Linked DNA regions of Tribolium castaneum. Each later gene encodes a partner of the first gene's protein in a complex. Links are inferred from orthologs where the notes say so. Each region holds a gene or a part of one and is shown on either strand. Other genes may lie near its edges.

Region 1 (4,438 bases):
TTTTTGTAATAAAATTTAAGGGCCAATTTCATAATCGGATTTAAAGGAGCATTCAACTAAAAGTTGTTTATAATGTGCTGGTTACTATGGATTTGTGGACATTTCACATTCTAAACATTTAATTTAATGCTCCTTTAAATTCGATTATAAAACTGGCCCTTAATTAATTAAAAAATAAAATAAATATTAATAAATAATACAATGTGTTTTTAAATAATTCTCATCTAGTCGTCTGTGAATTTCTACAGTAAAATCAGAAAATACCGCTTCATATAAATAATGATAGGCATTTAGACATCGAATATTACCATTCTCCATTTATTAAGGCTCCAAATATAAAGTAAGCTTAAAAAATAAAAGTGTTTTCTTGCACGGTATAATAATTTAGTTACATTTTAACGAAGTTTTTAAAACAAATTAAATGAATTTGCCAACTGACAGACTTTACATTTATTAACAGAGGATTCAATTGAGCAAAGCGGCACAATTTTTTACATGTAAACCAATTTCAAAGTTAACTGGATGAGAATCATTTAAAAACACATTGTATAAAATATTAAAATTTAATAAATCGAAATTTTGAGGTTAGCAACAATTTTATTAAGAATTTTTTGCTTAAAATATCATTCATTTAAAAGACACTATTGAAATTATAAAATTAATAATTAATTAATTACACGGAATAATATTTTCAATTTTATTAACATAATTTTTAGTAATTCATGTTTATTTAAGGAAATGTAAAAAAAAATAAAAAAAAATCTTTGAGAAAAAAATTAAGTATTTAATAGAAAACACTGATTTTTGTGTGACTAATTAATATGCCAACATTCTTTAATTGCTTTTAAGTTTTCATTAATTTTTGTTGCATTATAAGTGATAACAAATTCTGTAACTGACTGAACAATTTGCCCCGGAAATCACCGGAAGATCAAACCAGCTAACCCTTCTCGCATTAGCACAAATTTACGGAAAAAGCAGGATTATACCTTACTTGCCAACTGCGAAATTAAATTAAACAAAGAAGTTTACAGAATATTTCAATTACAATAAAATTTTTATTAGTGATTAACTTGACATTTGCCAATGCATTTTAAATGACAACTTAAACTCGAATTAGTCTAATTCGGAATTAAATTTTAATTTCGCTGTCTGTAGACCGACCCACAGTTTTTTTTTATTTTATTAATTAAATGGTAACAACTTCTAATACTAGTAGAATTAAATAATTTTTTTGAATATTAAATATTTTCGTAACATCAATAAAACTTCCTTGGCAGTTTATTGTTTTTTTATTTTTTTTAACAATTACTAATTCATTAATTGCATAAAATCGCAATCAAATTACATGATATTAAAACGCTGCAAAAGTTATTATTTCTTATGTTATTTTAGAACACCTGAAATACTTAAATGTTTTGTGCAAAAAGTTCGTAAAAATTTTTCTTAAGAATTTTTTGCTTATAGCATTATACGCCGTTGATCCAGAAAGACACTGCAGAATTAATTAAATTTCGATTAATCAAGTTTTTATATTTTGTATTTTATAAATACCTATTATTATTATTTGCTTAACTAATATCATATCAGAAAAATTAAAACATTATATTAAATATTTTCGTTAACATCAATAACACTTCCACGTCAGTTTATTGAGTGGCTAGCAAACAGCTCTGATTTAAATATCATTGAGTCTTTTTGGCACAAAGTAAAAAGGTATCCTACAAATCTTCCTCAATAGTTGTTGAAAGATTTAAAAAATAAAATAGAACATATTTGGAACAATAAAACGCCAGAATTTTGTAAGGGATTCGTTAAAAGTATGCCAGCGCTAAGTTGAGTCGTCATTGAAGCCAATAAAGATTGAAATTACAAAAAAATCTATCTTTTTTTTGTTCAAACAATTAATTGTCAAATATCATTCCTATTTTTCTTTGTTTTAATTTCATGTTAAATATAGTGTTTTAAAGTAGTGTTTAAGTAGGTCATAAGTTACAAATAAAGGTATTTCTTCAATTTATCCTTCTTTTTTTAAAATAAACATTCATTAGCTTGACGTGCATTTTCTTTGCAAAAATGTATTCGTCCAAACACACTATTCAGAAATGATTGTTCATTGCAAGTCACTTATGAAATTTGAACGTAATGTGCCACTTAATTTAAATTGTGAATGCCGTCAAAAGCGACAAAACCGTCAAATTAATGCAAAAAAACTTCAAATCTAAAAACGAAAGAGTACACAACAAATTTCACCGAGATGTAAAACACAAATGACGGCAAACCCCACACTTGAGAAATGCAAAAAAGTGAGTAAAAAGCTAAGATTTGACAGAGATGAGAGTATTCAAACACTACAATAATGATTTGAACGAAGCGGAACATTGTTTTTGACTTCCATAGTCGACTGGGTGAACAACCATTTTTGAACACATTGTATTTACTTTGTAATCCTTTGAAAGGAAATTAATCAAAGTTTTCGAATCCCTCATGTTTTCCATATTCTTCATGACCTCATCGTCGGCCATAATCTTCAAAATTGGTTGCACTTCCTGTTGAAGCTCCTGTAACTGAGCTACAACGTGTTGACGCCTTTGCTTCAGATCTTCAGGAACTTCTTCATTTGGATACAGCTGCTTTCGGATGTCAATAGCATAATCGATCATGTTGGTCTTGCTCAAAATATCTAATTTGGCTTTAAGCAATTCCGTTTCATCGTAAATCTACGAAATTCGGAATCAACCGAATGAACATAACCTCAAAAACTGTACCTCTTTAGCCGACAAAAATTCCAACAATGGAAACACCAAGTGCCGATCCAAATATTGCCCCATGCGGGAAGTTAAATCAAATTGGGCCATTTTATACCGTTTTTATGCAAAAACTAACAAGATTTTATAAAATGTGACACATATGGCGGCACCCTAGAATAACACTTTTATAGAAGCGGAACATAATGGTTGGCAATGAATTCCTAGCTGGAGCCATCTAGCCGCATCATCACGTACTAAAAATGGCGCGAATTAAATAATCCCGATTACTTTGTATTTTTTAAATTTTTGCTCACGTCAAAATGATGTCAAAACCTTATCAAATACAATTATTATGAAAATTTTCTAATTGTATTTGAAAAGGTGGATGCACAAACAGCACAAATAGAAGAATTTTACCCAACATGACACGATCTAAACACATTTAATATTAAAGATATTTATTAAATCCATTAAGTTTACAAAACTAATAGTCGTCACCGCATCGATGATAAAGACATACTTGCAATCAGCCAAACTGGCACCTTATGTTAGCAACTTCTGTCTATGGGAATCTCCTCACAGTGTGACTCACTTGCGGTTCGCTCTCAAAAAACTCACTTTTGGAAAAAACGCACCTATCAATGAAAACCTTCTGGAGCTCATTACTACGTTATATTCTTGGAGATCATGTTGTTCCTAACCGATAGTAGGCAATAGTCTAACCCAAACACGACACCTTGAACCACTATCTTAATAAAACTTTGAAAAATTAACGTGATATAAAAAATAAACTCAAATTTTGCTGACGTTTGTGAAATTTTTACTTGTCAGCCGCGCATCGGTACCACGTTTTTCTTCAGTAATATGAAATTTTAAATCCGCCAATAGGATTTCTTTTTCCCGTAAAACACTAAGGCCATCTATCCGCATCATCAGTAAATCCTATTTCAGTGAGCACAGCTTCCTTGATTAATGAAGGAACTTTCCCTTCACACGGCTGGCCGCATTGCTTAGTTCCATGGCATATTTTTGTTTCTGAGAGGGAGCCACTATAAAGTAAAACAATTCTGACAGTTCTAAGGTTAAGTGTTGTCACACTGCTGTCAGTGCAGAAGATTTCTAAGGCAAAACGCATTAGTATTAGCTGTATAGTTGTAGAAAACGTATTCTACAAACATTTGGCACGTGTTTTTACTGTGAGGAACCAAAAGCGCATGTTGCCATGTGAGTGACCAAGAGCCTATGCCAAGAGCGAACTGCGAAACACAAAACGAACGTAAAAAGCGTCATACAAACTTGAACATTTTGCCGAATGGTAAACAAACATTTTTATGCTCACGAAAATGATCAAAAGAGTGTTGGAACGCATTTGCAACCAACTGTACAAAATGTACCCATTAGTGTCGAAATGCTTTGCATTTCAAATTTTGATTAAAACTTGTGGAAAAAAAATGAAACTAAGCTTTGTCTTGCCTTCCTGTTGGCAAAATTTTGTATAAATCTTGTGCAAAAGAGGTTGAAAACTTAAATTTGTAAAAAATATGACGGCTGTCACCTTTGACACCAAGTGAATTTTTCAGCAGCAACTAATAGATGGCGCTACAATAAAGTAAGCTGTCAAAAAACACTTTTTTTGTTCAATGCGACCAGCCGTGTAAAGGGTACTTCCCTTCACTAATCAAGGAAGC
Region 2 (3,142 bases), on another chromosome or scaffold:
AAAAAAAAATAAAAGGAAAATCCTATATTCGCATTTTAATTATTGTCCAGTCAAGTTATTACTTATTAATATTAAATAACCAGAAGGTTCTTTGATTGGTTAATAAATCTTTTAGTTAGTTTATTAACCTTTTATTTTATTTTTATTGGTTAGTTTATAACCAAAAACCAACCTTATTTATTTGCTAAATTAGCCAGCAATAGTTAATATTTTGCAGACTTCTTAAACTATTGTCTAAGATTTTTTACCTTTTCAAAAAAAACAAAACAATTAACTAGCTTTAGCAAAGTTCTATCAGGTATTGTATGCCTTTACAAACCTCTCGAGTTAAAAAAACTCAATTGCTTGGGATTTTTTATTTTTCCGAGAAGTTACCGTAATGTTTACCTACCGTTTACGCGAAAAATGCTAAGAGCTGATAGTTTCAACACTTGAGAATTTTCTATATTTTATTTTAATAGTGTACCTAAGACCTGTACCAATCTTCACCTCTGTTCGAATTATTTAAAACTGAAATGTCTACGTATTTTGTTGTATTGTAGGTTTGAAAAAACGCAACATTAGCTAAAGCATTTTTATTCAATACAAATAAAACTTATAAAATACATTTCAATTAGGGTGTGGCTTAGACCAATCCACCGTGAGTATAAGATGATCATAACCGTGTCCATTAAGCATAGAAATGGCTTTAGCAGCGTCGTTCTTAAACTTGAAATGAATATAAGCGAATCCTTTGCAATAACCGGCTTGTTTGTCTTTCGCCAAATACAACTTCTGGATCGGGCCAAACGGCTTCACCAGATCCTCCAAATCAGTCTCAGTGGTAGATTCACTAAGATTGGTGATTCGAATCGCCGTGGCGTCGTCTCTGCGCGCCATATTGAGATTATCGGACTTCCTGACGGCCCCATCTCGCAAACTCGGCGGAATGTACTTGGACCCCCCGGCCTTGCCCGCATCCGACCCTGACGGAACCGCCGGGCCCTTCTTGTCGTCGGGCACTTTGCCCCCGGCCAGCATGGTGTCCTTCCAGGGGCACTTGGAGGTCCAGTGGTCCCCGCTGCAGGTGCGGCACTTGACCACGTTCTTGTCGCCCAGAGCCTTCAGCTTCTCCAAAGCGTCGTCTTCCTGCTTGTTGTCCTCCTCCTTGCTCGTGATGTACTGCATGTACACGTCCTCGGCGACGATCGTGGTGGCCGGGTTCGGGCCAGGCTTGTCGTTGGCACACTCGCCGAATTTCTTCCAAGTCTTGCGGAAAGCGATCGATTTTGAAACGACGCGCTTCTCGATCTTGTAGGTCCGCACGATTTTCATTTTTTTGTCGTCTTCGTTGTACGCGTATTCGGTCACGATCTTGAAGCCGTTTTCGTACACCTCGGTCGGGGGCGGGAGCGACCCGCCCTCCAACTCCACCTCGTCAGCCCAGCTGGACTTGACCTCTTCGGCAACAGGCATTTTTAGCTAATTTTGAAACGTTTTTTTGGAAAATATGGTGCGACAATCACGTTCACAAAAGTTAACCTCAAACTGTCAAACAACAGACTCGCCAACCTTTGGGGAATTTCGTTGCAAATTATTTATTTTTGTTTTTTGCAATACAATTTAATTTTGTTGATATTTAATAAAGCCATGTATTTTAAAATTTATTTAATAAACCGATTAATAAATAAACCCCGACAAACGGGGCTGTCGTGTTACAAACCCACAAACACATAATTACAGGATTCTGTAATGAAATTTTAAAATTGGGAAACTTATTCGGAAAGGTGGCTTTGAAAACCATCAACTACTAGATTTTGTACACAGAAAATGTGTGACTTGTGTTTTGCGTTCTTTTGCCAATAGTTAATGTTTTGCATTCTTAAATTAGTTAAATTTGTGTCGGGAGTGTTAAATTTGCATCCGTTTATTGGCTATAATAAAGTTTTTTTGCTTGTGAAACTTTCTGTCGCAACTGTGTAACGCCGTAAGTATACCTACATTAAAATAGTTGATATTTTGGTTCATGTTGCTTCTGATGATGTGCAGAAATGCAGCTTATTATTTATAAATGTATTGTCGCCAATTGAGACATTTGTGAAAATTTAGGTATCCTTCTAGAAGGCTACGGCTACGATTCTGTTGCTTTAGAAAAAATCTTTCACAGCCTTCTAGAGAAGAAACATTCTGCGCCGCCTTAGATAAAAAAGAGAAATTGAGTTAAAATAACTTGAAATGTCTCTGAAATCCAATAAAAATACGATTATGTATAAAGGGAATGCTAAATTAGATCTAATTAAATTTTCGTCCATTCAGAGAAATATGTAAAAATTGAGCAACGTGATTTTAAAAAATTTGATTTTGCTAATAGAGGATCCCAGCTAAGGTCGTCCTGGACCGATCTGCTTACTGGATGAAACTTATTTTTTATCAAACATAATATCCAAAGGATGTATTCAATGGGTTGCCAAAGAAATGTGTTCCAAACTATAATAAAGGGAGCTAAAAAGAGTCGAATTTTGGTCACATTCCACAGTGTTCTACAGCACATTTTTTAAACTGATTTCCAGGATACATTCTTTTACTCGGGCTGTAGGCGAGAAAGTTTTTTAAAATGCGGTCACTGCTTTATCTAATTCTGAAAATAATTTTTAAAACTGAAAAAAAAATCAAAAAAAAATCTAGTCCTCTTTGAAAATTATTATAAATTATATAAAAGTGCAAAAAAATATAGGGTGTTCTATTTAAAAAAACATATGTTTGCATTTTAGCTAATTTCAAAAATACCCTATAATACCTGAAAATAATTTTAGGTGAGTCAAATTAATTTTCTAAAATTTAAGCCAATAATGGACTTTTTCACATTACTGAGACACCTGTATATAAATTAGGACAATTTATAAAATAAAATAAAATGAGAAAACTCATTTTAGCATTTTATTATTAATATTATAAAATTTTACTAAATAAACAACCCGGCGCCTCCACCATTTTTTAATTGAAATCATTTTTAAAATAAGTTATCGAATAATCTTTTTTAATTGAAATCATTTTTAAAATAAGTTATCGAATAATCTAGAGTTGTAGCAAACAGGTACATAATTTGTGAAGGTACACCACTATGAAATTTTTGAAAATTTTTAGTTTGAAAAAACTAAAAAAG

The links.
Region 2: eIF3e (region 1) and eIF3g1 share a complex: the UniProt entries of both Homo sapiens proteins name them as parts of the eukaryotic translation initiation factor 3 (eIF-3) complex. The link is inferred for Tribolium castaneum from reciprocal best matches to the Homo sapiens genes EIF3E and EIF3G.

What each region holds. Positions count from the first base shown.
Region 1 is NC_087394.1:22,552,241-22,556,678, reverse strand, and holds the start of eIF3e (eukaryotic translation initiation factor 3 subunit E), read right to left. Parts: upstream 2,947-4,438; 5' UTR 2,859-2,946; coding exon 2,769-2,858; intron 2,721-2,768; coding exon 2,442-2,720; intron 1-2,441. UniProt on the Homo sapiens protein: Component of the eukaryotic translation initiation factor 3 (eIF-3) complex, which is required for several steps in the initiation of protein synthesis.
Region 2 is NC_087395.1:17,787,584-17,790,725, reverse strand, and holds eIF3g1 (eukaryotic translation initiation factor 3 subunit G), read right to left. Parts: upstream 1,573-3,142; 5' UTR 1,456-1,572; coding exon 610-1,455; 3' UTR 561-609; downstream 1-560. UniProt on the Homo sapiens protein: RNA-binding component of the eukaryotic translation initiation factor 3 (eIF-3) complex, which is required for several steps in the initiation of protein synthesis.